Drosophila melanogaster: one gene and its partners. Changing the gene in region 2 together with the main gene of any one other region gives a genetic interaction. Each region holds a gene or a part of one and is shown on either strand. Other genes may lie near its edges.

Region 1 (11,858 bases), on a different chromosome or scaffold from region 2:
AGATAGTCAGCAACTATGATTGGTTTTAACATATATGTTATATATGTACACATATACATGTATGTATATAAGTTCTATAGTTAATAAATCTCGTACACATAAATTTAACATAAATGTCCTGCACCAAGTTGTGTCTATGTCGAAAAGCTCACAAAGATTCTTCTTTTAAGGTGATACATTTGCTAAGGGCCAGCCAGGCAAGTGCGAGTGGGATTCTGAGTTGGTCCAGCAGGGCATATTGCGTAGAAGTATGGACTTAATGGTGGCGCCATTTCATTGCGCATGTCCATGTCTTGGATTACTGGGATGGTATGGATTTGGCAATTGCAATGAAATGGAAATGGACACAGATGGTTTCAGTTGAAATATGTAAATGCGTAAATATGTTAGCGGGGGATGAGTCATTTGACGTGTTAACCGGCCTTAAAAGTGATATAAAATAAAAAAGGAAATACATAATGTTGTAATCCGTTTTCAATATTGCATCAGTTGTTTACGCAGCCATGATTAACTTAATAATTAAAGAAAGTTTAATAAGCTATTTACTTCGTTCTTGAGAATTTAGGTTCGTTCAGACTGAATGTGTGCATATGAGTCAAATTGAAAGATTTCTTTTTTATAATATTTTACGCGGCAATCGCTAGACAACCATTTGGCACGCAATAAAGACAGTCTGTCCCATTCGTCGCCTAATAGCTTTCTTTCCTTTTCCTTCACTTTAGCTAGGTCAGCTATTGGACTGTCACGAGCCCACCAGTCGTCTGGTTTTATTTTGAAATTGTCAATTGCGCCTTGCAATCTAGGCGCCAACTAATGGTGTGCTTGTAGGCCTTGACGTACACATACACAAGCTCCTAACAAGTTTTTTTCCACCTTACCTCCTTGTATAGCGAAAAGTGTTCTGCTCTTCTATCCCTACACCCAGCTACATAAAAATATCTATTGCTGTGTCTCAACCCAATGATTTCATATTCTGTGGATGCACAACTATTGTAAAAAGCGCAGTATCAAGTATATTGCAAAATGTGTTACCAAAGGGCTAAGGAACAACTTTAAAATTGCTTTGCTGGAGAAAATCCTAAAACGGAGATATTTAGCATCTATTTTTAGCCCTCGTCTATAACGAGTTGAACATTTTTGGTTAATTATCAATGTAGTCCAAGCAGCATTGATCGTGCTAATTTGTACGCATATTAAATGAGAAGATCACGCTAGCTAGCTCAGCATGTGATGCCAAGACAGTACTTAGTTTATTGGCTCACCCTCGCACCAACACCTTGTGAGGCACACGCGCAACTGGCAACTGCCCCGAAATAGACGTTGCCACACCTGTGACAGGTGCGACAATATTTGTCGTCTGCTATAACTTAAAGCTGCAACTACAATTGTTTGTGGTATTTTTAGACGACTTTAAAGTCAATATTTGCGCAACAATTTTTCAGTTTGCTTCGACTTAAATAACATCTCGTCACGACATGTGATGCACCGGTTTACTATAGTTTATATTTTTTAACTTATTTACACAAATGCTAATTTGTAACATTGCTACTAGAAGTCATTTTTATATGAGCAGATGTTCATTTTTTTAAATATTATTGGGATACCAGGAGAATGAAAATTTTAAAACACAGCATGTGGCTGGGATTGTCTTTAAATTCGATGTTAAAGCAAGAAAAATTAATATTAATTTGTACAGGGCCTTCGCACATTTCCCCAAATTCATTGAAAAATCCAGCATTTTACGGAGTAACGTTGTTGTTTTTTTCTTAACAAATTACGGATACCATAGGCCTAGCAATCTCTATTTTGTGTGTGCAATTAATGGGAAAATTTTCTTAAATTTGTTTTATTAATATTTTATTAGGAAAGTGGAGGTACTTTAATATAGATGTGTAAGTTGCAGGTCTAGTTCCCACCTGCTCTTTGTTGAATAACGCCAATGCTCAAGTCATTATATATGTACTGATCGGAAATTGCTGTTTTTAACCTGTTTTCTATAGGATTCTTAGCTGATGTAATTTGTTCTGGATATTGCACTGGGTCAACTAGATGCAGTTACTTTGTTAATAATATGCATAGTTAATAGTGTTGAGTTCTTTCAGAGTACGTCATGAGTTCTAATGCACTGTCAACTTACTGTGATATTGGTAAACTTTGTGCCTGCTAGATAAGCTGACAAATATATTTCCGAACCTGATAAGGGGACTAAGTTTTGCCAAAACTCGTTACGATAACGTGGATGCGTTCAGGTGTACTTAAATCGATAGCGTGCCGTTCTTTGCGCACCTGTTGAGTTTTTAATATCACGAAATAGCTTGTTGCAAACGATAAGATTGTTTAACGTACAGACATAAAATAACCCTTAAAGCCGTCATTTCTATATGGTTTCCTTTAGTGCGCTTGCACCCAGATGACTAATATTTTAACCGCGACCACCTGAAATCCCAACTCTATATAAAAATACATTCTCTTTATAGTAAGTTTTGTGTATTTCCTGATTCTATGGCACGTACACTTATGAATGTATACATGGGTACAAATATATCAATGTATACAAAACAATGAGATTACAATTGAAGAGGAAACGTCTACAGTTACTTACATAAACTGAAATTTGTTAAATTCTTTATTTAATTTCGTAACTACGGATTTTTAATTACTACTGATTATCTCTGTTGTATGCAATTCGTAAAAGAAGAATTGATCTTATTATAGAGGTACATGTAAAAAAATATACATTTTCATATTCAGTCCTAAGGTAACTAAAGTTGATGGTGAAATTACAACATTTTGGCAAAGCTTCTTTTAAAAACTTGTAAATTGATATAAAAATCCTGTTTGAAACAAGAAACTGAAACTTTTTTAGGTAAATATATAGTTTACATTATTGTCATTTACATAGGTTTTAAGGATGCCGATTATTGTCTTTTTATACACTCGTACATAGATGGCGTTGACTTTTTGTACTGACTAAAATGTTTCTGTAGGTAGAGATTAAATTATGATCACATCGCTAGTATTTATTCATAACAATGTCAATATCAAATACAAATTGTATGCAGGCATACTTAAAAATTTTTTTTTTAAACTCATGAAGTCTGTATATCTAACAAAGCCTTGAAAACTTTTAAAGCTATTAGGCCACTTCTGGCAAAGAATCAAAGCATGTGGATAGGAATGCTGTATGCAGATTAATCTAAGCTTAAGCACAAATATTTAAAAAAATAGCAGAAATCAGTCGCATTTAAAGTCTAAAAAAGTAAGTTATCCACGAAACTGGACAGATTACTCGTCTTTCTTTCGTTTCACTTTTCCCTCCGTTTGGATGGTTGATGTTACAGCTTCTAAGCACGTGGCAATGGACGGTACGGATTGATCGGCGCTGTAATCCTCGCCAGCCATTCTACTTAAGGTTAGTATATAGGAACACGCTACCCGAAGAACGGAGAGTTTGGAAAGTTTTTGAGTGCTGGCATAGGCTGGAACAGCTTGGCGGAGCGTTTCGTAGGCGGCGGATATGGTGTGTACACGGGTCCGTTCACGTGCGTTCGCCTCAATGCGGCGCTCCCTAGTCATATTCTTGTAATTGCGTTGATGTTGATGAGGTCGCGAAATTGGTGCCAATCCCGTCTTGTTCAGATCCTCATCGCTAAGACTAGCTTCTAAAAAGGAAGATGACGTTGATTCTTTTTGCGTCCTTTCCTTCAACGTTTTTTTGGCGGATGGCTGTTTTCCAATTAGCAATGCGGAAAAGGCCTCTATTTTAGGCCCCGCTTGGTCGACACATTGCTTTTTGGTCGTTACTAATGCGAGTGGTTCCAGCTGTTCTGGGTGGGCAGCAAGCGATCTGTGAAGAGTCGTAACTCCCGGATGGCGAACATATATATGTGCCGGATTAGGCATTATTTCATGCTGCAGGCGCAACGTGGAAGGTATGCAACTGTTGGGCGGTGGAGAGTCTATGGCTGGTGGCGTTAGGACAACTGCCGAATCGGCGGAAGATGTGTATCGTATGCGTTTCTTTAGCGGACCAGTTGCATTCATACTCGCACTGGACGGAGGACCAGGCATGGATTTAGAGTTGGGAGTCGTCAAACCTACGACTTTGAAGGGTTCCGAACTCTTGCGTTTGTTGCGGACAAGGGCTATTGGCTTGGAGTCCGCCGAGTCTGTTCCTTTTGGTCTGATGTCGGGACTGCCACTGCGCGCGTGCTCGACGACCAAGTCGTCTCCGCCTTCGCTTTCCGAACTGGCGGAACAAAAACCCGCATCACGGTCGTTGGAATTGGGTGAATCTAAAAATACCAAAAAATTTAAGAGTTAGTTATCTTCTATCTGTGACGTATTACGCCGAACCGGTTACTAATGTTTGGCATTTCGTATTCGTAAATTTAAAAAAACCCCCGTTTTCGCGGAACAGGCCAGCAAGCCGAATAGGGCTGCGACTGCCTTTGTGTGACACCCCTTCGACTTTTCAAAATTCAATAAATCCCAAATCTTTAGTTACTATTTTTTATTACCATCTGATCGAAACTAATTGGATGACGTAGTTTTGACGTATTTTCTTATCTATAATATGTTCTTCCACCCTATGAAATCTATTTAATACATTCAAATCGGAGGTTACATGAGAAGAAAGTCCATTATATAAAGTGAAATTATGCATTGATCACGAAAACAAAACAGGTTTCTTAATTTACCACTGACCTCCACAAGTATTGAAGTGCCGAAACGCAGCTTACTTGTTAAAAGTAATTTATTTCAAGTCTGGCGAATAAAGCCAGTTCAAGTTCAGCATGAAGCAGCCACTGCATCAGAAGCCAACAACCCGGTTAGCAATTTAAAAAAAAATCACAATGCATATAAACGAGCATACATACATGGATCGAATTTGTTTGCGATTTCAACTTTGGTTGTGCCAGCAAAGTATAAAGGTATAGAATCTGCTAGGATATTTATAAGTATTCCGGTATTTAAGCAAAAAAAAACTTTGTCTTCAACAGCTAATTTTTTTTGTAATCAATTATTGTGTTATCAGCCTATCCATTATATATATGTATATGTTTGTCAGCAATCATACATACAATAATTACTTGTTATTAATTTTAAATTAATTACTTAAGCTAAGTTGGCTAAGAATGAGTAAATTTATTCCCTGTTTGTTTGAACCGGTGCGGACACACATTTACGGAAGGTAAGCTTTTTGCATGTTTATTCAACTATTTATAAGCACAATATTCTGCTATCTTTTCTAATTTTAGGCAGATAAACAACGAAACGAAATTCAAAGCAACTGACTGACATTGCGGCCACGAAATCAGGCTGTACAAATAACATCAGTTTTATAGCCCTAACTCTATCCCATGTCTTGCGTGGTTTATATACCGCATTTTAATTTATATTTAGACAAATGTTTACTTTTAAGCCACCGTCCTCGCAGGCGTCGTCTAGTTTAAAACACCTGTGCCAAACGGAAACATTTTTAAAGCTTGCCAAGTTTTTAAAAAATAAATTTCTACCAATTTATATTTAAGTTGTCCGTATCAGACACTTAAAGTTACATCTAACGACCAAAGGGCAATACCTGCACATTTTATTTTATTTTTAGTATACACGGAAGAAGGTATTATTCTCGATTGTTTATATTAAGAATATTTTAAGATGTTTTTTGTACGCCCAAATTAGTTTATTTTTTATGGATCTGATCCGTCTTTAGGTGCCAAGTACAAAATAGCAAGTTTTGCTCAGAAATTGACAACGGTTTTCCCGTTATTGGCCTTTTTTTCTAAGAATGAATGCCCTCCTGCGAAAATCAGCTAAAACCTACTTAAAAACGGCAGACATTAACTGTCAGAGGCATAAGAAAATCCCATATTCACGCCAAAAGTCAACGAAAGGTTATCATCATAGGCGGCTTTTGGCTGGCGGTCGGTCCACTGGGAAGCGTTCCCTGTGTGGGAAGCCTCGTCTTATCATAACAAGTGCATATACTCATACGTACATAAATGTAAATATGTTATAGCGACTATATGAAATATATTGTAGTAAAATGACGCATCACTTTTATGAATGAATCGTAAGAACACATCCAGATCATGCAGTACTTTGACACACTTGGTAAGGACATTTTTACGTTGGTTATAAAACGAACCCAATATCATTCGGCTTTCCTGTTACTACATTGCGTTATGTAGTAAAATAATATAAGTGGAATTTTTATAAACTCATAGTGATCAATTTAAATTAAAGACACCTTATTCTATCCAAACCAATGGCCATCTAGACTAATCATTTCGAAACGTTGCTGATTAAGACTAGCATTTTAAATAAATGATCACAGAAACAAAAAATAAAATCGATTTTATGAAATGCTGACGTAAACAGTACCAACAATATGGAAGGAGTTAACGTCTGTCCTCGAACATTATAACAATCAGCAGGCGGTGGTGAAAAGGGACACACAATGCAGAGTCCAACTGTCGCTCCAGCTTCACAAACAGACAAATTGCCAATATGTCTGGCGACATCGTCGTCCCAAATTCGCCATTGCGGGCAAAGTGCTTGGCCGACATATGCAACACAAGACGAAAGTTGGAGTACGCTGGCGACACATAGTTGGCTTTATTTACGTATCTGTCTGCATCTTAATTGCCATCCTCACAAGTCTGCTGCTAATATGATTCTGCTGCAACGTGTTAGTTGGTGGGGCTTTCTGGGTGCACACGGCAGCACCCCCTATTAACAATGTTGGTCGTCAATTATCTTCAGTGTCTATTGCATAGCCTTGGGCCATAGCCTCCTTGCCTTAATGATTGTATTCGTTCTTTTTGGGTTTCGATTACAAAAATGAATATACAGCTATTTGACAAATTATTGTCGACAAATATTTTGCGGGAAATGATTATAATCATCCGACTGCAAGACATAAAAAACCTATGTATGTAGGTGTGTATATTTATGTAAGTATTTGCAGGTGCCGCACAATTCGCAGGCAACAGGTGCAGTGTCCTTTGCTCGTGCAAAAGGTAAATACCCACCTTTCATAATAATTGCTGATAATTCCGATGCGCTTAGTTGCATGTAAAGTTTTTCTGTGTTGGTATTCGCCATAGCCGCGAAGGACATTCAAGAACTTTAAAAGTAGCGCGTATCCGAAAACGGTATTTGAATAGTTTTGTGGGCTTATATTTTATTTATTCACAATTACGGGCTTTATGTTAACATAAACCTATTGAAATGTCACGTATTGTTTAAAGGCACTTTTTTAATTTGTGGTTTGGTTAAGCCGTATGTGAGCTTTGGCACTATCTTCAACTTATTAGAACTTTTTATTTTCACGATTTCTCGTAAAATCTTCTGACCGGAGCACGACTGTTCACAACGAAAGTATCTGACGGATTGAAAATATCTTGCGGATTGAAATGGCCTGCGCCAGGGACCGGCTGGCTTCATGCTAAAAGCAGCACGCGGTCGAACTGCGTTTGGTTATCAGTGTTGACCATTCAGTTTTTTTAGAGTCCGTTGTCCTAATGTGTGTATGGCTTGAAAAAAATTGCGCCCTTAGCCAGAAAATATATTTCTTCCATAAGTAAATTATATGCTTAATAAGAAATAAAGTATTTATCTTTACAAGAAATATATAAATACTTTAAAGCAAAATTTTGAACAGCTAAGTTTGCTAGGCCTCTGAACTTATTGGCACCAGAAATATTAGGCAGAAAGACCTGCCAGCACTGTGGTACGAACCGCTGGATCGGTTCGCTGTCGAACATGTTTGACTACCACATTATTAGTTTTATGAATGAAAATATTCGCTCGCTTGAGATTTGCGACTAGAAAAAATTTGTATTCAACTTATTGATTGCAAGTATTACTTTTCTGCGGCCTTACTTATGTTTCAATGACAAAATGTCTTTTGACTTTTTGTAAACTTATCGGGATGAATATACATTCAATATTTTGGACAGAAAAAGATCTTAAATGCCATTGAATTAGGTAAGATTAATTAATTTCGGCTGCTCTCCATTTTGCAAAGTTTGACTTATAAGGCTGTTAAAGCCTCTATCATAATCAGGACTTTATTAAAACAGTTTATTCTTCTTGCAACATTGCTGCTGGACACAACGCATATACCAGCGTCAATTTCATTTGTGCATACGTGATAAAATATGTATTAGTATGTATTTCATCTGCGGATGGCACTGGCGAAGAAAGTAAAAGCAACGGTCTTAATAATGTCAACATTTAATTTTAGTATTGCACAAGCTGTTCGATTTTTAGGCATAGAATGGTCAGTTTCTTAGATAGTTTACAAATATTTTATTTGATACGTATGTATTTTTTTAAACAGAACTCGTCATAATTTTGTAAGTTGGATTATCATGGCTTCTTTTATATTTATGTATGTATATATGTATATGCTTGTATTTGGAAATTTATTTAAGTCAGGATGAATACCTCCTTACGTTTTGGATAAAAAAAAGATCAGTTCTAGGAAAAAGTTTAAATTTGCTGATCATTCTTTCGAACGCCGCACAACAAAAAACTTGCCGCTGGAATGAATGCAAGAGCCAGTTCCCTAATATCATTAGGGTTCTTTTCGTCTTTTTGTCTGATATCCTTAGCAGATGTACACTGGGCACGAGTTTGAGTCTGTCGCGCGAAATGCTTTTTGAATGATGACTTTCGTTTTTTTAGAGACTTGTTCTGCTTTTAAAGTATGCGATTGGGCTGCGGCCTAACCTGTTTTCTTCGATTGGACAGACCCCAGACTTCACAATCTCCAGTGTAGCAACCTGAGCAGTCCTCCGCTACCGCCGTTTAGGTCGCGATCAAGCCTTTGTCAAGCTGGAAGTTCAAGGATAAGAATGCTGGACTTCCAAAAATGGTTCGTGTACGTGTCGGCGAAATTTGATCTGTTCCTTTAAAAGTAAACCATTTTTTCCGTACGCCCCAGCTAGAATTACTTCGGAATCATTTGCAAAGATTTTTTTTAAAATTAGGTAAAGTTGCGGTTACTGATTTGGCTTCTGTATGAGGACGGGCTCTAAGTACATGAAGTCAGTTTGGCTTCTACATATGTAGATATGTGCTTTTCACCAAAGATCAAGTCAGAAGAAGTATTTTGCGGACAACATGGTGTTGACGAACATGCACAAATCGAGTTACACTGATTTGGCTTCTGAAAAAGAACTTACCGAAATAAAAATAGCAATATATATTTAATTAAAATGGATATCGATTCGATACCTGAAAACACATATGCATTTGTACATGCGCACATACACATATAGGTATTTCTACCTGTCATTCTCGGCATGGAGCTACAAGAGCAGGATAATGGAACGTCTCAATCACTAATTGCTTTTAGTCTGCGTGGACTAATATCTGGTCCTTGCCAATAGTTTGAACAAACGCCTGGGATATTGGAAATTTCTTGAAAAACTAGCGAAGTCAGGTAGTGGTGACTTCTGAGAATATTCATGCTCAATGCCTACCTTCTGCGGAACATAATGTAATATTTGTTGCGTATTTCAGCTTTTGAGAAGCTCATCGAAATCAAATAACCTTTTATCTATTAGCCATTTAGCATAATTAGAAGGCTTTGTTACTCGATCAAAATCATTATCAAAAATTAGTTGAAAGTGATATCGTCTCAATTCAAATTCCTTTCATATAGTAAACATAACGTTGCCGTAATAAGCACATGTCCCTCCATGTGACGTCACGTTCCTTCTTGTTACGTTTAGTAGTGGAACCAACCGGCCTTGGCACGTGGTTATGGAAATTGCGTAACTCACTTCTACCGATACACTCGTTACTCAATGACCCAAGTTAGTGAGCTTAATAATAATTCAACAAGGAGAACGCTATAGCCGATTTCCTTCCCTCTATCAGATATCTCAGAAACTAAGATAGGGAAAGTGCGAGGGGCACATATGTATGTATATTTTTCTAAATGGTCGGGGTGCAATTTTTTGCAGTTGACGTGAACAGACAGAAGGACATGGCCGGAAGGACATGGTCTCAGATAGAGAATCGGATCAAATATCAATTAAATAATAGATCTAAAAATATTCTGAAAAGCGTTTGGTGAAAGGATTTCCAACAGTAGCCTACTTAAATAAAATAAAAACAAATATTTACGAAAATATGTTCAGATCCGAATTTGTAACACATGGAATTCTCTGCTTGCTGTAAGTGCCAGCACATGTGTTTTCTTTGAGAAGAGGCGTTTTTATTTTCTGGGCCTTTTGACCTTTGCCGGCGTCACCCAGTTTGCAGATTTTCATTGAATCGGCGCCGTCGGCGACTAATGGCACATATGCTGACCAGAAGGATAGGAAAAACAGACATCCTTAAATTCAAGATGTGTGAAACTTGCATACAGTGATGTGAATGGCGACAATATGTCTTTTAATTTGCGTGGGAATATGTTTAGAACATGTTTGTATGTGCAGATATCTGTCTTAAAGCAAGAGTATTGTAACTATGTCCAGTGCAATATAAAAAGCTCAGTTTTCGTAGATTACACCTTATTCTTTTAAAACGTGACAGCCGCAAGCGAAACTATACAGCAGCATCAATAACATGCGTGCCAGAAATCATACCCATGATATAAAATTAGACGCTAAGAAGTACGTTATTAATGTCAAAATCTAAAAAATCAGGACTGACTGCCAGACACAACTCAGACAAACCGGAGAATGCAGGACTTTGCACGCAAGAAAGAAGATAAAAGAAGAAGAATATTAATGAGTCCAGACATCTCCACCACAGCAATTCCCACGCTTCTTGAACGTAAAACACCCGCAAGCTCATCTGCAAAAATGTAAGCAAAAGCATTGACCGTATCTCTGCAATGATTGCCACCGTTTGCCTCAAGCCCCCAAAATCCGAATACTGTACAGGAGAATTCACACAGAGGCAATAAGGCAAGGCAGCATCACAAAATTGTTAATATGGACCTCGATACGGCAACAGCAGAAAATTGTTAATATGAAAGTCGAGATCGCTTTGAGCATAAGTTGCCAATGGGCAGCAGTCCCGAAACAAGGCAATGGAATGGGTTACTTAATAGAATGTCTTAGCATGTGGGTATGTCATGCACCTCAAAAGTGTCTATTTATATCCGCTTGTGCATGCGCTTTGAGTTTGTTAGCACCCTTACCACTCTTGAATTTGTCGTCTATATCGCTCATGCTGAGCTCCGCGTATATATTGAAGTATCGCGTTTTGACCGTGTTGAATACTTAAAACGAAATATGATGAGCTTAGCATATATGTATGATTGTAAGGCATTTGCTATTTTAACTTTTTTTAATATCGGCAACTCCAATGCACGTGCAAGGCAACATTTTGACATTTTACGGATTGGAGGTACCTGTCTTCGATTTTGCCCTTGCACGCACTAACTGTTGTTGCCCATTTGCAAGTGGGTATTGTTAAATATCCTTGTCATAAAACTGTTTTGTTCACTTGTCTTTTGTCATATAGAAAACTTCATTGTTGCAGTCAACACACAAAGGAGTAGACAGAAGACGATTTGGTTAATTTTTGGGTGGCGCCAGACGCACAGCTGGTTGCCGTGGCCTCGGCTGTGCGATTGCAGTGTCATAAACGTAATGTAAATAAGTATAGCAGCCAACGGCACAGGTCCATTGCCATCGGTGGTGTATGGTTTCTGACCGACCGACCAGATGCATGCCGTGGTCGAGCCTTGACGTTGACACGCACGAGCGTAGCCAGAAGCATTTGACCAGGAGGAGACACACTCGCGCTTATAGCTCCCTATCACTACGCCCATGCTGACACATGGCATGCTATACAGTGCGATGGTCACGGGCTATTGGTCACTC
Region 2 (9,380 bases):
TCAATCTAATATTCTATGAAATATTTCTATACTTTGCTGAATAATGCTTGGCATTTCCTGTTGATATAAACTTGAAAAACTTATCTAAGCTCGTGAGTCACGCGACCATCGCTGCGGTAGATGGACAAAAGTTAATCACCGTTGCCGTTTAGCTCAGTGAGCTTGTTGTTGGGGATCTCGTCTGGGAGCTGGAGCCACATATGCTATATGGTGTAGCTGTTGGCTCGCATAGTTTACATTTTATAAGTTAATTGAGTTAACTGTGCAACGCTCTCACTTTGTGGTCATTTGCAGATGCAGATTGGTCGGGTATCCGCCAGATATACGCTACGATTGCATCTATCTATCTATATAGCTATCTATCTATCGGATGCAGCGCTGATCATCGGGAGCAACTATCATCTATGGGTGGTCAGTCCACAGGCCCTTGGCGAGAACCGTTTTAATTATAAATACTTTCTCGCCTTTTTGTCGGCGTTTGTAAATCTGCATAATTCGTGTTGTGGTTGCAGCCATTAAAATTAAATAAAACCCGAAGGAAAAAAAATGCAAAACAAGCGGCGACCAACAATTTCTGCTGTTTAATTGCCAGAATATTTGATTTCACATACATATATAAGCGTTTTCTATGTTTTTTTTCTTATTGTGCTATTTGTCGGGCATTTTTGTGTTTTTCTCGATTTTGGTTTTTCAGCTTTGGTGATTTTATTTTCCTTTTTTTTTTCACATTGCGTCAATGCAAAATAATAACCCAAATAGCTGTGATAACTCTTTGTAAACGATTTGCATTCGGTTTGTCCGTGATTTTTGCTTAATTCTATCATAAATACTACATGACAACGGTGCGATGCATTGGATCAAATGGTTTCGGCTGAAACATACTCTATTTAACAAAAAAAAATATTGATAAAGAATATAATCGAAAAATCAAACATCGGTGTGATTTTTTAGCTACGTATATTTAGTGCGCTTCCTTTGAAACTAAATTGAAATTGAAATATGTCGCAAAGTTTCAATTAGCTGAGATCTGATTAATTACATTGCTAAACACAATCTTCCGCTTTTAAATATTTATCACATGAGAGTCACACTTTTTGCAAGTGCAAATCGCGTATACAAATTGTGTCAATGGCTCGGCTTTGATAGTTGTCGACCAACTTCAATTGCTGACGTCAAAGACTTTGGCCCACGTTTCGTGTGAAACTCGTTTGGGACACCTCACCCCTTCCCTCTATGGGCCACCAATCGATGGGGACTTCAGGTGTTCGCATTGCGTGGGCCTGACTCACTCAACAGAACCCCTCACCTCAACGCAATTCGAATTGGTTTGGGTTCCGTTCTCTAGAGAATGTGACCCTGGCTGGGTTCCGTTTCACTTTTCGCCAGATTTTGTAAATTTTCAATCTCTTTTATTTGGCTGCTCTTATTAAAAGCATTTGTTGAGACCGCTTAGTGTCGATTCACACGTCAGATGCATGCCTACAGTGCTCACTCGCTAAGTGGGATCACTATTATACATACACCTGTGCTATCGATTGTTACAAATGAATAGTGTGTAATTTAGAGTTCATATACTTTATATACTGAATAATCTGAATTTTTGTTTGATTAATTTGTATTTATAATAATTTGTAGCACTGTATGTGTATTTGTATCTGTATCTATGGGATGCATTCTTAGCATGTTTGTTTGTGGTTTGCACTGCAGTTTTCGCAATCGTTTGCCTTTGTTTTTGTTTATCGCCAATCCGCGAATCTTTGCTGTCTTATCTTCTTCGGTTGCTCTTCTTTCGTTGTTTTTTTCAGCTCTCTCTTTCTTTTGTTTCATTTTCACCTCTTTCGAAGCACATTGATGAATGAAAAGCGTTGGTGAGAGTGGTGGTGAAGACAGGTGAAAGGGGGGAAAAACGCAAATCGCCGATAAGCGATGAGTATGCGGAGTTCCCTTGGTGGCTGCACTTTTTAGCTTGTGATTCATATTCCGCTGTTGCAATTGCATTTGTATTTGCACATTGCGCTGGTTAGGCACTTTTCCGGCCGAAATACCACCCTCCCCCCACCACCCTTCACAGATACGTCCCTGTTCTTCCAACTCCAAGAAGAACCCCCCTTCTGAGTTTGGTGTGAAATATTTACGTGTAGACAACATTCCACTAACTGCAGTTGCAATGGCAACTAAAGTTCCCGTCCGGGCGAAGCAAACACCGTTTTCCACTTCTCCTTGGCATTTTTACCCACATTTATTTTCGGTGCATTTCCGCCTGCCATTTGCCAGGTTGCCTTATCCTACCTGAGTTTAAAAATATAAAAATAAATCTGAGGGAAAATGGTTGGCACTGCAAGTGAAGTACCCTGGAATTGATACTGCAAGCAATATATGTACTAAGATATGAATAACAACATCTAGTCGCAGTATAAACAAACCAAATATCATTTTAATGACCAAAAGTTTGAGTTTTCCCATTGAATAATTACGTAGCTTCACTTGCACCATTTTCCGAGCAATCCGACTGGTCAAGTTTGTGTAGAAACCCACACCAGATGCATGTGAATCCCAATAGACTTTTGCACCCTTGGCTGCTCCATCGAGGGTATTTGGTAAAAGGAGTTCCTGCGCTATTCATCTGCGCCTTAGTTCGAGCATAAACATTTCCTAAACTTTTATCTAATTCAGCAAACTGCAGCAACAACGTCAGCAGCTTCATCCATTTTGCAAGATTCCCAAGACATTTCCACATTTTCCGACTCATTGTTCTTGTTGTTATAGTTATTGTGTGCTCCATCTTTGGACTTTTGTTTTTCTTTATTTATTGTTTTTTTTTTGTGTGTGGATCTCTTTTTTCGCATTTTTAGCGTGTTTCAAGTTGTTAGGCATTCAACTTTTCACATCGCTGCTCTGCTTATTTTTTGTTTTTCCGCCGCGAAGGTTTTTCCTTCAGCCGACTGTGTGTTGTTTTTTCGGACTTTTCGTTTCGCGTCGGTTTTGTGCAACACACACACACACACACGCCACTCGAGTTCTTTGTTTGTGTCGCTTTGAGACTTTGGGGCGCCTCAGCGTGGCGGGGGCGTGGCTGGTCGGTGGGCAGTGGGGGCTGGCGGGGGTGCAACTTCGAATGGTTGCATAATCCGGCAATTTCTTACGGAATTTATTCAATTTCTGAAGCACTAACTAGCAGCATATATACTTGTTATTTGAAAGTTAAATTGATTAGCTTAAAAGTTGAAAATATTTGTTAACATTTTTGGTTCAGAAAAGCCTAGTTGCACAACAATTTTTTACACACTATTTCGCTTCTGCACTGATTTATGAGCTCTATTTTGTATGCGTTTGTGCGAGTGAGTATCTCAAAGATACCATCAATGTATCTGTATCTGTATCTGGAGTGTGTGCGTGTGCACCTTGGCCGACAAGACAAACTACAAAACTGCTTGAGCCATTGTCTTGCAACAGCTCAACTTGAAATGTCTGCCTAGATTAATGCGAATGCGAGAGGGTCTGACACTAATGAAGGTCAAAGGTGATCCAAAAGGGAAGAGCGGTGAAGGGGTGAAGGGGTGAAGGGGTGGTGCGGAGGTGGAGACAGCTTAAGAATGATTAAACACTATAAACTGTTGACTTCTGCGCTGGAAAATGGGGGAGAACGACACAAATCAGTTGCTGAATTTAATAGCAGTCAGAAGTTTTGGCCAAATTTAGTTCAGCAAACGGAAGCAAATGGTAATTAAAGTCTTACAACTTGGATAGTAATTTTAATTCACAGCTTTCCTTTGATACAAATATGACTTGGGAAACTTTTTTTTACCATATATCTTTAAAACTTTTTCACTTCTGCACACGTTAGTAAAAGAAAAGTGGCCCGAAAATGGGTAAACAAAACTAAGCCACCCTGAAATCAGGTCTTTGGGTCTTTTTTCGACTTTTTTTCATTTTTTTTTTTTGTTTGTTTCGCTATATTGTTTTTATTTTCGGCGTTGCCTCTCTCACTCTGACGCGTATAAAAGCAAACTTGACACATTTAAAAACTATATATTTACAAACAAAAAACGAACAAGAGACACGAAAAATTAAAATGCATTGCGTATGATTTTTTCAAGAATAGCCAACGCATTAATTTTTTCGTATTTTCATGCACTCGACAAAAACTTCACCAGTGACAAAAGCCCAAGGCAGCCCCAACTCCCCTGTCATTTTGTCCATGATTTGTGCATCTGAAACGGATCTTGGTTTTGATTTCCATTTCGATTTCGAGACTTTGGCACTTTTATGTTTAGCAAAAGTTTCACGAGAATAGAAAAATTTCGGAAAGTGAATAAAATTCGCATCGTTGCGATTGAATGAAATACTTTTCGAGGCTGCGTAAATAAATCAAAGTGTAAACAAAAGTGAGCCAAATGTGGCGTCTTCTCGCCCTGGAGACACACGAACTTGGTGGGTTTGGTGGCAAGATGGATGGCCAAACTGGGAGCTCCGAGGACCGCCCACACGCACAGACAGACCCTCTCCATCGATCGTTGGCCACTCCTGCCTACACGCACATGGGTTTCCATTCGAAAAGAGACAATGGAAATCGAATAGCCAACCAACCAGTAGCTAGCTGGCCAAGAAGTTCTGGCCAGAAGTTGGCCAGAAGTAGCACTTGTCCGAGATCCCACAAAAGATATCGAAAATGGAGCAGGGCAGCCCACACATACATATATATATAAAAACCGGGTGACCCGGGGGAGATTTCAACGGAAAGTGCTTGCCATTTGCTGACAGCTCGGGCGCAAACGGTTTTTAGTTAAATCCGCGCTCCACGTTGCGTATACGCAATGTGCGACTGGTGGCTGGCTGGGTGGGTGGGAGTGGTTGGTAGCATTGCAGTTGGCCCGTTGCAAACGGCAGCAAATACGGATGCCGAACGACAAGCACAGATGTTTTTACAACCCAAAAGATACAAAGCAGACAGAGATACTGATGCTGAAGCTGCTGCCGCACTGACAGATGCAGATTTACATGCACTGAAAACAAAAACTGCGATGGCTAACTAATAAGATTGGTTTCTGTTATAAATAGAGGATGGATATTAACGGCAGTAAAAGAGAATATTATATATTCAGTGCGATAATTTTTCGCACCATGAAGTACACCTTTATTTTTTGCAGTGCTCGCTCTAGTCAAATACGTTCAGCTCAGCATGGTTGAGTTTGGAGCTGAGTTTTGCCAAGTTTTAAGCCGATGGATTTATTTTTTTGGGGGGTTTTGCCGGGATCTCCGTGGGTGAGATATGGAATAGATGGGGGATTGAGAGTGGGAATCCTAGGCGGGGGGTGTTATGACTTACCGAGGGGGGTGATGAAATGGTTGACTCTTGTGCAGGCCATCCGGGGGGGGCAGGATTATGTGAACTGGTTGCAGCTTCTATTTTTTATTTCTTTCGAGGATGAGCGACAAGTTACTGCGGCAGTCGATCCGAGCAGTAAATGCTACGAACGGTACGAATGTTCGGTGCTTTTCCACTAAGTTTTTCCTCGGTGGTTTTTCTCTACTTTTCCAGTGAACCGTTAGTTGCGCGTGCTGCCGCCGGTTGCCGTTACAAAGTACCGTTCACAACTGAGCTCGTTTTTTATGCGGCCCGATACTTTTATAGATTCGCAAAGTGCCGGCCTGGCCAAAAACCGAAAGGGGTAGAGCCTCCTTACCGGAGGGTTTACATGTGCACAGTCCGCTGTGTTAGTTGTGCGTGTGTTTGTGTGTGTGTGCTTTTTTTCCATTTTGCACCCCTTTCGAAAAGCCGGCTCTTGCTGGCCAAGGTAAGAAACCCCCCCCCCCCCCTGCAAACCGCCTCCCCCTTTTAAGCCACCCTTTTGAACAATAAAGCCAGGTGCAGCAAACATGTTCGAGGTTCGAACGCGTTGCCAAGTTTTCCTTTGTCGTGGCTTTTTGCTTTTTTTGGCCACCATCCGGTGAACGGTACACGCAAAGGAGTCACGTGAGGAAGTGAGATGGGGCGAACGAGTGAAAGGGAGAGGGATAGCCAGGAGCCAGCTGGCTTTTACCGGCAGCTGCAGGTGCGACAGAGAAAGTGGAGAGACGGAGAGCGAGAGGGAGACAGTTGCAGATGCAGCCGCCGACGGATAATTAACAAGTCACTTATTAAGTTAGCATCTTTGTCCCCTTAATCCATTTGTGAAACAGTGTTTTCCCTTTTTGGCTAATTAACTCAATTATTGCATTACCAAATGTGAAACAATTGGGGGAAACAAAAAAAGCGAGGCTTATGCCTCAAATTATATCTGGCCAATGTTTTTTCGTTTGCAAACTGATCTTGGTACTGTAAAAAAGTAAAAGTTTATGTATAATTAGATAGATTTGATAAAAAAAACACCCAACGTTGATTTCTTGCCCCTGATAAATAAATCAAAGCACTTCGGTCGCAGCTGCTGTTTTCGCCTTGTTTATTGGGTGTCAATAGGTGCATCCATCAGATACAAGACACGAGATACAAGATACAAGACACGAGATACGAGCTACCACCAGCCACGAGATACTTATTTATGTGGGCTATCTCTGGCATCTCTTGGGACCAGTCATCTCTTTTGTATCTGAACTTGTTAACATATCGAGTATAATTTTGATGTGTTGTGGCCTCCTTCCATTTCCCAGCTCAAATAGCAAATAGCAAACAGCAAACATCGAAAGGGCCCAGATACACTTAACAATTGCAGAAACATCTTCATCAAATGGGCCTCATTCTGCTGCCGCTGACAGCTGATGAGGGCGCTGCCCGACCCTTTGTACCGCCCTAGCCCCCTCTCACTCCCACACAGCAGCTATCTCGCTCGCTCGCCCTGCGAATACCACCTCGAATCGCGCAGATTGGATTTGAATTGACTTCAAGATGAATAAGGTGGCAGTTGAATAGGGTCTATGGACCCCCTTTTTTTATGAAATTAAGGGTGCCAAGAGGATAACTGTTAATATAATATAGGGGTGCTGTTTGCAATTTGAATTAAATGCAAGCTAGTTACTATAAAATAACTAAAACTAAGATTAAAGTTTCTTCCACATTACTAGATAGTTAATATGAAGAAGGTAGCTCGATAATAAATTAAAAAGGCACCAAATGCTTTGGTTTAAAAGTTAGCACTAAATACTAGCAACGACTAAAAAGCTTATAATTAATATCTTGTGCCGCAAATGTTTTTCCAGCGCGACCAAAGAAAACACTTTCAATTCAATTCCATTACGCGCAGTCGTAAAATAGAAAACACAGGATAAACATTTGCCCATAAAAATTGCATGGGCTAAAAAGACAATTTTTTAAGCTGTCATTTTTTTCGTGTTTTGTATATTTTTTTCCTCGCTCATTTTCACTCTTGCCCATTTATTTTTTTATATTTTCTTCAACGTGTTTAATTGCACAAAAAAAAATGAAGAAAATGAAACGAAAACAAAGAAAAAATCATAAAAGCCAAAAATAATACACACAAAAAACAAGGTGAAAATATTGCGCAAAGCAAAAATAAAAAATCACAAAAATAACAAAAGAGGCTACAACAAAAATCAAACAAATTCAAACAGCCAGCGAAAAGCAAAGGCAAAAAGCGATTTATGCAAAACACAGATAAGCCGAAAAGTACAGGAAAAAAAAACAAAGACGATTAGGCGATTTAACGCACGCAAAATAAAATCCAATAAAATGTGATTACGGTTGGGTGGAGGGATGGAGGGGGAGCGAAAGGGACGGGGCGAATCGAACAGATGTTCGAACAACAAAAACATCAAAAATAACAGTGACATGCAGTGACGTAGGCGATGAAATTTCGGGGGTTTTGGGGCAAAAGCAAACACCTGAAATCATTGAAATGGAGGGGGGTTGAAGAGGGGAATACTTAATTTATTAAAAATATGCCTAATGTGTTTAAAGGATATTGATTGCAACCCCCCTCAAAATATCCTGCGAATGCCACTGTCGCTTCGCCTTCAACTTCTTCTCGTGCGCGTTGTTGTTTATTTTGTTTGCTGCTCGTGCCAAGGAAAGAGATGGCTAGCTGCCAAGATATCCTTTGACAGGAAGAGAGCGAGGAAATCAAGGATTTCGGCCAACTAGTTTTTCGGCCTCACCTGCCTCTGCCACATGCCGCTGCTCAAATTTCGTCTTTTTTTTCGCACTGCCTCCGCTTCTTTTAACATAAAATAATTATTATGACATGCACCGTCCCTCCGAACCCCCTAACTCCCTTTACCCAGCGTCTGCTTCCGTTGCAGACGGCTGAAAAGAGAGGGCAGGTGGCGGAGCGACAGGGAGGGCGATATAGGCATTAAAAACTGCAGAAAAAAAAGAACGAGAATCGAAGTACAGTAGCATAGATACTATTTAGATTCAGTATCTTAAACTAAGCAATTGTTTTTGATAATCGTCATCAGCGAAACGAAAATAGCATTCAACCACTTCCTATAAATACCATGATCAATATTTATATAAATAAACTCAAACAAAAGGCACCAAGTATATGAAAAACTTTCAGTAGATGATACCAAAAAGTGTTCTATATATTAATATCTTAAAAAATTCATATCACCAATGTATTTTAATGAGAAAGTGAGACAGACACAATGTGCACGAAGGAGACAGAGGACACAATCTGCTGCAGCTGCGAATATGACGAGTGGCATTGTAAAACAACTCTAGACTCTAGTGGCATCCCCTTCCCCCCAAAAACCCCTTTTTTAAAACACACTCTGCGCATACAAATTCGAAAGTGTGAAGAAGGAGAAGGGGGGGGGGGGAATGGACTGGGGCAAACGGAAAACGGAAAGTAGCCGGCGGTAATTTTATTGAGAAATCCGAATGGAAGAGGGCACAAGCCAAGAAGTACGAATGTTTAAGGAATGCAACGCCTGCCGCATAATAACAACAACAATGCCAATGCAAGTATCCGATTCGAGTATCTAGGGAATGGGGTATCCAAGTATCTTTCAGATGCATCTGCACAGTGGGTACAACAAAGTTGCTTCCACAACAAAAAAAAAAACAAACGGCAGAAGAATAGAAAAACAAGCAAGTTGCATGCTCTTATACGGCCAAACATGTTGCGCTGCTCCGTCTCTCAGTTGTTGCAACAGCTGTTCGAACACGTTGCGTAGTAGTGTGAGTATAAGAGAGCCACAACATGTTCGGAGACAAGTGATGGATTCGCTGTTATAAGAGGAGGAAACTGGTTGTAGTGGAAGTAGTAGTGGAAGTGGAAGTGGTGGGGGAGGTGCACCAAAAGATGAATGACTGAGGCAGCGAAACACGATCATTCATGATCGGTGGTGAAATAGAGTCAGATCTTTGTGCCACTCGACTGTTTATTTCATTGTTAATTGTTAATTCCTCTGTAATTACATGA
Region 3 (11,656 bases), on a different chromosome or scaffold from region 2:
GCACCTGTACGGATTCGATTAATCCCAATGGAACGTAGGTCTCGTAGCCGGTTGACTGCTTGGAAAGGAATATCCGATAATTGGACAGGGCGAGGATACCATCATCCGTGCGCCCCAGGTACTTAATCGATTCGCCGGCCACTAGTGGTATATATACTATAGATTAGCATGTGTTATCGGTTACAGCATATGGGGGAACACCTACACTCTTGAAACGGGACGAACAGCTGGGAGTCTTCCTTCTCCATTTGTGACTTTGGATACGATTCGGCGGCACGGATAAAGCAAATCGATGGAGGCGGTGATCCATCGGACATTGTGTGAATCGGCTAAAAGAATACTTAACATGTAACGTATTCGAAATTACTTATTTGCTTATATTTAGGCAAGGCGATTTGGGTGTCATTGGAAATCCGGTTATCGCTTATAAGTGCATATATCTCTTATATCCACCATCCGAATACATAATTACGCACAACAGTGTGTGTGCGATGTTATTGGGACGATTCGATACGTATAGTATAGTGGCTCCCATAAATAAATAAATAATACTATGCACATATGTGCATGTGCATTAAGCAGTGCACAAACAAAGCCAAATAAATGTCACTGGGATGATAAATTGGGCACAATCAACACTTTTAGAACAAATCGAAGTTAATATTTGAGTTTTTGAGTGTCGTGGTGGCAATATAGATAATGCACTGCATATATATGCACGTATGGATGTACAATGTACAATGAACATACATTTATGTGAGCACACACAGTTGCAGTTCCACAAGGTGCGCAATATATAGTATGCACATATTTGTGTGTCGCTGCATTACATACGCACGCACATATATACCAATAGACTAGATTATCACGATTTCATAGCCAATAGGCGAAAAATGGCCGATTATCGTACTCAACGTATTCTAATGGCCGTGTATGTTGTCATAAACAAAGTAATTAAACATTTACGCATGTGTATGTTTGCATAAACTCATATGTATATTTGTCTATGTAGGTATGTTTGTGTTTCGATATTTCGGGGAGCAACAATAACACATTACAATCGTACATATGTATGCACACACATTTGGTTTTTGGATTCCACAAACCGTTCGCTCAGCAGACTTTTCGGGGTATTTAGCTCAAAACGTATTGCCGAATTGAAAACGCGCTTGGCTTCTAGATTTTCTCGCTCTATTTACCACCATAAAATCCATAAGCGTCAGCTATTATAAACAAAGATTTGCAAATGTTGTTGCACATACATATGTATGCATATGTATTCATTTAGACACTTTTTGTTTCATTTCCATTGAAATTGCTATCGTTGTTTGCTGCTATCGCTGTTATCGCTGCTGTTAGCGATGGCCAAGTCATGTGACTAAGCTATCGTTACTCGATTGCCGATGAGATGTGCATTCGAGACTAACCAACACTGGCCAGCCGATAAAATCAACCAAAAATTTGTAAAACTTAATAATTGTGCGTACGTTTGCATTCCATTCCAGCTGATGTGTAACTGAAATCAGAAAAAAAGAGAACCGATCGCTTGGACTCTCCGCCGGTGCACGCAATTCTACGCCCACTCCTCGCCAGCCGCATTCGCCATTCGGAAGCCGAACAAGAATGTTTGGAGCCAGAATCGGAATCGGAAAGCTTGGGCCGTGTGTGGCCCTAGTTGCGGTGAGTCGACGTGTTCCGTTCTGTCTGGTCATGTTGCTGGTCACTGGAGTGGCTCACCCGCTCGATCAGCGGGCGGGGAAACAGTGGGGAGGGGCCGGCCAGACAGCCCCGGCTTTTTTTTGGCTCCCCCTAACCAAATAACTAACTAACCAGAACTGACATCCTATGGAATTTACAGATTCTACAGCTACTCCAGTACACACAGCCGGCCGATGCCGCCGGAGCCGTGCCCATGACCAGTGATAATATCGATATGACCCTAGGTGAGATATGCCCATACCATAACCATCACAGTCATCCCCATGCCATTCCCGCTGCCAGCGTGAGCGGGAATCAATTAGCCGACTTGTCCCATTGACGTGTCACTAAACAAAATCACTGGCTCGCTCAATTCGGCACTGCCAACGTGGTAAAATAAGTTTTATGCGCTTTCGTAAAGGACAAGGTGTGGAATTTGGATAAAACTTAATTAGGGCGGTTTATATTTCATGCTGCATCGGTCCGATAGTCCGCCAAAATGGGCACTAGCCATTGGTCGGCAGTTCTTTGCTCAGAATGTCCGAAGTTTGGTCTTTGCATGAATAGGTCCTTTTTATACGGTGTGTCCTGTACACAATCCTGCGGTAATACTATATTGTTTTTTTAAAGTTATTTTTTTTTATTATCCAAACGTTAACTTTTACAGTAAAGCCTGGCCTTAGGCTTGCACCCCTTAAATTTTAACTTTCGGAAGTTATGGAATAGTAGGATGCTAGAAATTTCTTGACTTTAATATGTATATTCAGCGACAAATTTAAATATATTCCATAAAAATACATATGCATTTAAATTATTAATACATAAACCCGTAATTCAATATTGATATAAATATATTACCAAATATATGTTTTTAAAAGTTATTATATTTAGTATCTGAACGGAGTTGTATTCTACGCATCAACAATTTTACACACAATTTGGTGCCTACATTAAAAACACGTTTTGTTTTCTTGCAGCGTCTAATGAATTGGTTTTCCTTAATTTTTATGCGGAGTGGTGTCGGTTTAGTAATATTTTAGCACCTATATTCGCGGAAGCTGCAGATAAGGTGAGTCAAATGGATCGCCAGTAAAAGCTTACAAACAATGCGATACATTCATATACATTTTATATCGAATAAATACGTGGCATTCAATCGAATTTCTCTTACAGATTAAAGAGGAGTTTCCAGAGGCTGGAAAAGTGGTGCTAGGCAAGGTCGATTGCGACAAGGAAACGGCCATCGCGTCCCGTTTCCACATAAACAAGTATCCAACATTGAAAATTGTACGCAATGGGCAGCTCAGCAAGCGCGAATACCGAGGACAGCGTTCAGCCGAAGCGTTCCTCGAGTTCGTCAAGAAGCAGCTGGAGGATCCCATTCAGGAGTTCAAATCCCTGAAGGATCTGGAGAACCTGGACTCGAAGAAGCGCCTCATTCTGGGCTACTTCGATCGTAGGGACCAGCCAGAGTACGACATATTCCGCAAGGTGGCGACAAATCTGAAGGAAGACTGCCAGTTCCACGTGGGCTTCGGAGATGCCGCCCAGGCCATGCATCCACCAGGTGAATTCTATCAAACGCACCAAGTCATGCCAAGCCAATACTGAATGTCAGCTTTTTTGGTCTATTACAGGTACACCTATCATAGTATTTAGACCTGATGTAGCTCTGTCTCATGAGAACGATGAGACCTACACTGGCAGCCTACAAAATTTCGATGAGCTCAAAATTTGGGTCCAAGAGAAGTGTGTACCCCTGGTGCGGGAAATAACATTTGAGAATGCAGAGGAACTTACGGAGGAGGGTCTGCCGTTCCTAATTCTCTTCCACCACCCAACCGATCATAATTCTATCAAGGATTACAAGTCGATCATTGAGCGTCAATTGCTGGATGAGAAACGTAAGATGAATCATCGTGTTGTTTACTTTGCATATAAGCATTTGGTTTGACATTGTATTTTCGAAATTTTGCAGAGAACGTCAACTTTTTGACCGCCGATGGCAAGCGATTCGCGCATCCTCTGCACCATCTGGGTAAATCCGAGGATGACTTGCCCTTGATTGCCATCGACTCGTTCAAGCACATGTATCTGTTCCCCCACTTCAGTGACATGTACTCGCCGGGTAAGCTGAAGCAGTTCCTTCAGGATCTCTACAGTGGCAAGCTGCACAGGTAATTGTTATACAGCCGCCTTTGCTAACACCATGGGGCTCAATTACTAAACGGTCTGCTGCTTTGCTTTCCAGGGAATTTCATTACGGGCCGGATCCCTCAAATGATATTGAACCTGACCCACACACTGGCAAGGGTACATCGCCACCAGAGTCCAAATTCAAGGAACTTGGCCCATCCAAGCATCGCTACACCCTGCTAGAAAAAGATGAACTGTAATATAATAATAATAATGTATATTGAAAATAAAAGAAAATAATACAAAAATGTAATAATGAGCAACCTTCTCTGAAAGCAGATCAGCAGGTGAGCGGTTATCCATGCAAATAGCGGGCGCAGCAGCCTCAATTCTCTTCAATGCAATTCTAAAAATAAAAAGTCTGGATTTAACCACCTTTGTTATTGCAAAAAGAAACAGTTGCTGAATTATCCACAAATTGCACGCGTCACTTTTCAAGTTTTCCTCGTTTTGTTGTTAAAAATTACGCTGGAGATTTCGGCGAGGCGAACTTATTGAATTCTTTGGAATCCCCTTCTTAGTCAGCTAAGCTGGAAATGAATGATGTCAACTTCCGAATTCAAAGCAGTGATTTTGATTTTCTCTATATATATATATATATACACATATATATGAGCTATATATGTATACATATATATATGTTTATTCGTATGTACCATGTTACAGTTACAGTTGTTAAATTAGATTACATAATTATATAATATAATTCAGTCAAAACGAGCGATAACCGTGTGTGTGTTGGGATAAAAATCGGTTCAAATGAAGTCGTGTGCTGGCAATTATCATTTAAAAGTTGCTCTGACTGTTAATTTTAAAAGTACATTTAAAAGCGTACTCTCGCTACAATTAATAAGTAAAAGTGAAAAAAATAGGTGCCGCGTTCGGCTGGCTACCATGCGCTTAATATGGTCTCGAGCGCATGCCTCCATCGTTTCTCATCGGTCCACCATCGCGGCGATTGCCGCCACCACCTCCACGGCCACCGCGTCCTCCGCCATTGTTGTCATTGAAGCGGGAGTAGCCACCACCACCGCCGCCGCCGCCTCCGCCTCCCTGCGAGTTGCCACCGCGATCTCTGTTGTGATATCCACCGCCGCCGGATCCACGATCATTTCCTCGGTCGTAGCCTCCTCCGCCACCACCGCCGCCGTAGCCGCCGCCTCCACCACCTCCGCTAGAGCCCTCGTCGTCGCCCTTGGGAGTCTTACATCTGCAAATGGACGTGATTATTATTATCGTAGCAAGCCAAAGATTGTAAAATTTGTAGTTCCCCAAAGATAAAGACTTATGGCAATTATGTGGCGTATCAGCAAAAATTGCTTGCTTTCAAACACTGATAAGTTTTTCGTCTACACTTTGGGTTCTCCACGATATTTACAAGCAAGTGTGGAGTTTTAGGAATTATGATGGAATGGAATGTTGAAAGCAATTATATCTCAACTCTCAACTCACCTATTGCATTCGTTGCGCCAGGCAAAGTTGGTGTTATTACAGCTGTTGCATTTCCAGTCACCATCACGGGGCTGCACGTTGCCACCGCCGCCGCCACCACCACCGCCTCCTCCGCGATCGTAGCGTCCGCCGCCACCGCCTCCTCCGCGATCGAAGCGACCTCCACCGCCGCCGCCACCTCCTCCGCCGCCACCACCACCGCGACGTCCGCCAAATCCTCCGCGACCACCACCACCGCCGCCGCCGCCTCCGCCCTTGTTCCAGTTGTTCTGGCGCTGGGCCAGCGACACCTTGATCGCATTGCCGTTGAAGTCGCGTCCATCGAACCATTCAATGGCGGATTGTGCAGCATTGGTGTCGTCGTAGGTGACAGTGGCCTCTCCCTTGGAGGCGCCGGTCTCCTTGTTCTTGTACAGCCAAATCTTGGGCTTCATTGTACGCTTGTCTTTCTGTTGTTAGATCAGTTGCAAAGGAATAGAAAGATACAAAGGTTAAAACGTAGCTACAGATACATAAAATACATTACTACTTGCCTTGATGATGCCAATTGCTCCAAAGTGTGTCTCAATGTCCTGCTCGGTGGTCGAGGGATCCATGCCGGAGACAAAGATGGTGTCCTCCTGGGTGATCATGTCGTTGCCACCGGACCCACCGCCGCCGCCTCCTCCACCACCACCGCCGCCGCCCGAGTATCCTCCGTGTCCTACAAAAGCGAATGGGAAATAAGGACGAGCTGGCACGGCAGGGTATAGCTTAGAATGCAACTGCTACTTTATTTAATTAATATTTGGTTTTTTCATTTTCTTTTTTTTGTTTTGTTTTTTTCTTAGAACTTCTCGCCTCACTGCAACCACCAAAAAATGCAACGAAGGTGAGGACCAAAGTAGACGGCTGTTCCGTGACATTTTAACCAGGACACTTAGATGTGAAACCAGAATTTTGAGGTGTATTTCAAAAAACCTTTAGTGGGTGGACGACCGTGGGAGAGACGACATGGGGACACTTTGAACGGGTTTCGGTCGGCTTTTGAGCTATCAAAGCCAGACTGACTGGTACACAAGAACACAAACAGGTGACCCCAAATTGCCAGGAGTTAGCCCGACCGACCAACCCTTGATTTGATTCGTGACAACGCTTTGACACATGTATACAACACTTTACAGAAATTAAATACTAAATACCCGTGGGCTGACCGAGTCGGTCGTTAACCATTATATATTGATCAAACAGAGATCAACGATTTGGAAAAGTACGCTAAATACACTTTATAGGTAACGATGCGTGGACTTTTCGACGAAATTTCAAATGGGCAAGGCCCCACAATGAAAAGAATGCCGCCAGGAAAGGAGGATGTTTGTTTAATATGCATATTCAATTATTTACTCTTTTGGTTTGGAATTAGACTCTGTTTTTATGTTCTAATCGGTTTGGGTTTTCTTTTTTGTGTTTAAAATTTTGTTGTTCTACTTCGATTTTAGATTCAAGTTCAATATGTAGAAAAATATTGGTATACATTACTCGATATGTTTGCAATTGTTTGCATTATTTTTACCTTTGTTGTAGCTGTCCTTGCTGGCGCCTCCATTTCTAAAAGAGGATATTGAATAACTTATTTAATGCTTTGATTTTGGTTTTAATGCAGTATGGTGAGGTATACGCCTAGGATCCCTTGTTAGAATACGTATTGCTTTGTTCGATCTTATGGCATCTAATACCATCTATAGAGCACCCGGCACAGTTCGGTCAGTGACGACGACGTTCAAACAGCGAATGTCCGTTTTGTTGCTTTCCATCACAAAATTAGAGCCAAGTGCGGCGGCAGTCACTGATCAAACTGCCAAGGAGGACAACGTACATACTGTTTGCCATACATACACCTAACTCTTATACACATAATCTTAACGTTTGCATTAGTCTACTATTGGAAAAGCATTTGTTTACCAAATTCACAGAAATGAGAGGGAAGGAAGGAGTTCGACCCAGTTAAATACACTTATGTATGTAGTAGGTATATCGCAGCAAAATACCATCGTTATTAAACACACAACACTACCTACATACCTACATTCTTGCTTAACTACTATAAAACAAGCTTAAATGATAAATAATTCAAAAGTTTAGTAGTTTAGTAGTTGTTAAAATCACAAACAAAAAAAATACCTTAAAAACGGTCAATGAGATTGAAACTATATAAAACAAATTGCTTAAAACTATCTTACATTTAGATTGTTAGAGGTAAGCTCTCTCTTAGGCGCAAAATCATTGCTTTCTTATGTGTATAAACATATGTAATAACCTTAATAGCTAATAATTAAAATTTGTTATTATTTTTGTATACGTAAATACCTTAAGATGATTAGAGTCTCAGAACCATACCAATTCCTCCGAACTGTGCATTAATAATATATCGAATTTTTTTATTGTTTATTGTTTTTGTCTCGAGCCACAATTTATTTAATTTTATGATTGCTGGTTGATATTTTTTATATTCTTTTTAGCTTTATATCTTCGATTACACTTGTGTCATGTTTGATCTGGTTTTCATAACCATCCTGTTGGGAACACACACATTTTTTGAATGTTCATTTTGGAACATGTTTATGCTAGCATTGTATCGTATTAAGGCAGGAATGGATGATATAGTGTATGGTTTAAAACGATAATAATAACATGTGCGCGATTCTCTATGCAATTATCACAAATTCATCATAGATTTCATTAGGCGACCATTATTATTCCGATTGCAACGACTGTGGTATTACTTATTATTACTTATTCAGTATAACCAGTATTATTTATGCATTGCAGATATTTGTTTCCCCAGGGCATCATCTGTTTTTTTTTTTACCATTATACTCATTTGACTCGTCAAAACCATTTTGAAATACCATTTTCTAATATTTTTACACAGATTTTCGATGAAAAAAAAACAAACGTACATGAAATACAGTCATGCGGATAAATAATAATTTGCCAAATTGGGAGATACGTTTTTTTTTGTTGTTATAATTTTATGTTTTCTGCGTTTTTAAGCAGTCGGAACAAGTCGTAGTTGCAGGAATAGCTTCAAGCAGTTTCACACTCTGATGCAGCACAGTGCATCTCTTGCATTTCAATAATATCTTTAAAATACGCTTCATGTTTCAAGGAGTGGCTCGGTGTCTTTTCTCATTGGTTTGGCTGGATTGATTTGTAAATATTTATATATGCGTACACTTCTCTTATAACACTTAAAAAACCTCCGTGAAAGACTACTACCCATGATCTAAATAGCCTCGCTGTAACTCAACAGCAGCGAAATACTAAAAGTGGATAACATACCCGTAGGAATTGCCTCCTCTGTCGTTCCATGATCCGCCGCCGCCGCCACCGTTGCCGCTGCCACCAGAACCACGATGACCGGAACCGGAATCATAACCTTAAAAACATAAGTTTGTGAGTATTGGTGTGTTGCTCGCAACACAAAGTTCGCATGCACGCCTTACCACCGCCTTGTTTGCCGTAGTTCGGAGGTGGCTCGTTGTAGTTACCCGTTTTATTTGGCATTTGCTGGTAATTTGGTGGGGGGACAGCGAAATTATTATATCCCTGTCCCGAACCACCACCATAACCGCCACCTAGAGTGCACATATTTCATCGTTTTCAATTCACGTTGCGACTTATGCGCGTGTTAAAATTATACTTACGTTCCATGTTTAATAAACGTTGCGTGAAGTCTTTTTTTAATCAATAGAATTGCAGGAGTTTCAATAACTCGCTGCGTACAAATTGCTCGAATTGAAGAAAGCGTCAGATCGTCACAAATTCTATTGTAAAATGGCGTGTGAAAATTAATTAGGGATGTGCGTCGAAGGGGGCTGGTATGTGTGGGTCTTGTAGCGCCTATCGAAATATCTATCTATATATCATTGAAATGTGTGGGAATGGAACACAAATATGCCGAATATTATATTTGTGGGAAAATACGTATTAAATGGTAAAAATAGTTTTATTTAATACATTTTATCATTTATTTGCATCCAAATGGACTGAATCCAAGAGGTTTTAAATAATTAATCGGCAGCTTGATCGCTTTACAACACTAAAGCGCTTGCATCCCTGCAAACATTGTTTACAGTCGTTAGCACGTAACTTTGAATGAAAGTCGAAATCAGCTGTTTGTGCTTTGAAATTGAATTGGTGTTTACGTGGATTTAATTTTTTCTGAAATCAAATTAAAGCAGAGCCAAATACAAAATGATTGAAATATCAGATTTGCAGAGTAAGTAGCCATTAATATGCGAAAGCCATCAGCGCAACTAAACCGCCTATTGAAATCTTCCCGCAGAAATTGGCATCGGCTTGGCTGGTTTTGGCATTTTCTTTTTGTTTCTCGGCATGCTGCTGCTGTTCGATAAAGGACTGCTCGCCATTGGCAATGTACGTTACCCACATGCACATGCACCATATGCCCCATATAGCACACCCTTCGAGCTCTATAATAATAGCAATCGCCTCTTTCCCGCAGATTCTATTCATATCGGGCCTGGCCTGCGTCATTGGCGTGGAGCGCACGATGCGCTTTTTCTTCCAACGGCACAAAGTCAAAGGCACAACGGCCTTCTTAGGGGGAATCGTCATCGTCCTGCTGGGATTCCCCATCTTCGGCATGATTATTGAATCCTATGGATTTTTCGCACTCTTCAGGTTCGTAGCACCCTGGCCAAGTCCCAGTCGGATTCGTTTAAGACCATTTGAGCGGGGCTAACCGGTTACGCACTCCACATGGTCTTTTCGCTTTCCCGCTCTTAATACACCATTCGCAAGTCAGGGCTTGGCAGTCAAAGTTGCTGTCAGATGACATCCTTTAGAAATATTTTATATTTTAATTGAAAGACTGCAAGTCATGTAGATGGGACAATTTGACGCTGTGGCATTAACAGCAAATACCAAGTATAATTCTTCAGATTCGCTTACAAAAAAAGCTCGATCAGATTTTATAGCATTTGATCAGAGCTAAAGAAAGCAAAAAGTATGTCCTTCATTATAACTATTCGCTGTTTCTGTCTGTTTTGTTCTGTTCTGTCCTTTTATACATTTTTTCCTATCTATACCTCTCTCCTTTTACCTTTTCAATTGCATGCTTCTTCATAAGTTACGACCAAAGGTGCAACTTAATAATTACCCTAATATATGTAGGTCTTTTTATTCATTAAAATATCTTTTAACGAACGTTAAAAGGTCTGCTTCATATATATCGGATTAATGAATGGAAATCTATTCAAAGTAGGGAAAATATTCAGTGAATATAAGAATTTAACTTAACTTCGAAACGTGCAAGATGGCAATACAAGTGGAAGTAACTTCTTTTAGTGATTTGTCGTTTACTTATTACTTATTAATGTCCTTCTCTTTATATTTTCAGCGGCTTCTTCCCCGTGGCCATTAATTTCCTAGGCCGAGTGCCTGTTTTAGGATCGCTGTTTAATTTACCATTTATACAAAAGGTAAGGTAGCATGGAGCCTCACAAAAAATAAAAAATATAACATAGCAAATAGCCCATACTCATGATCACTTAACGCGCTCATCTCGCCTTGACGCGAAAGCCCATTGAAATAAACTGAAGGGTCCACATTCCCAAACGACCACGCAGACTCGATTTCATAGCCAATTTTGGTATTTATCTAAGCTATGTATTTCAACATTTACAAGTCCAAAGTAGAGGGATTTAGTGGCGCGTTTAGTGGATCTTTTCCCAGTCCTCACGCTCCTCGCGCTCCTTCACGACCTCCTTGAGGTAGGGTTCCAGATACTTGACGTCCTCCTCGTACTTGGTCCACTGCTCCTTGGGCAGAATGGTCTTGGTCATGGACAGATGGAGGGCCCTCATGATGCGGTAGTTACGCTCATCGTACAGCTTCCTGGGCAATCGGCGCACGGCCTCCTTCACATCCTCGTTCTCATACAGACAATCATCGCGATGCAGACCTGCAAAAATCGATGGCATCAAGCTCAGCTGTTAGGAATCACTAGGTTATATAGTAGTCCTACCGTATTGGTTGAATCCGGAGAGATTGTAGGCCCATCTGCCCAGATTTGCTGTGGGGAAAAATTCGCATTACATATTTACGTAATCATAATATTCCGGCGTACTGCACTACGAAATTTGTTGCATGCAACGTGAGTCCGATTGTTGCCCGTTCGTATTACTTACAGAGAACTGCGGGTCCCTTTCTGGCAATATAGTTCGACATGGTTTACGTAAAATCAGAAGTCGGGAAAGAGATATTCCTCCAGCCTTTTTATTTTAGGTATGAGAACGTTGGAGAT

The links.
Region 1: of ru (region 2) and net, changing one enhances a phenotype caused by changing the other (phenotypic enhancement), as found in Drosophila melanogaster (one study listed by BioGRID).
Region 3: of ru (region 2) and caz, changing one suppresses a phenotype caused by changing the other (phenotypic suppression), as found in Drosophila melanogaster (one study listed by BioGRID).

Annotation. Positions count from the first base shown.
Region 1 is NT_033779.5:79,983-91,840, forward strand, and holds net (net), read right to left. Parts: upstream 7,406-11,858; 5' UTR 7,111-7,405; coding exon 7,038-7,110; intron 4,296-7,037; coding exon 3,286-4,295; 3' UTR 2,439-3,285; downstream 1-2,438.
Region 2 is NT_037436.4:1,366,827-1,376,206, reverse strand, and holds the start of ru (roughoid), read right to left. Parts: upstream 5,580-9,380; 5' UTR 5,327-5,579; intron 1-5,326.
Region 3 is NC_004354.4:16,286,334-16,297,989, reverse strand, and holds caz (cabeza), read right to left. Parts: upstream 9,181-11,656; 5' UTR 9,040-9,180; coding exon 9,033-9,039; intron 8,964-9,032; coding exon 8,832-8,963; intron 8,765-8,831; coding exon 8,668-8,764; intron 6,934-8,667; coding exon 6,899-6,933; intron 6,050-6,898; coding exon 5,880-6,049; intron 5,796-5,879; coding exon 5,347-5,795; intron 5,105-5,346; coding exon 4,795-5,104; 3' UTR 4,470-4,794; downstream 1-4,469. Other genes in the region: CG3632 (uncharacterized protein), read right to left, coding at 1-141, 206-329, 1,200-1,214; ERp44 (endoplasmic reticulum protein 44), read left to right, coding at 1,624-1,680, 1,859-1,943, 2,676-2,767, 2,872-3,265, 3,336-3,602, 3,677-3,875, 3,950-4,094; UQCR-14 (Ubiquinol-cytochrome c reductase 14 kDa subunit), read right to left, coding at 11,067-11,314, 11,378-11,425, 11,541-11,580; CG32576 (uncharacterized protein), read left to right, coding at 9,583-9,607, 9,674-9,765, 9,854-10,032, 10,751-10,832. UniProt on the Drosophila melanogaster protein: May participate in a function common to the expression of most genes transcribed by RNA polymerase II.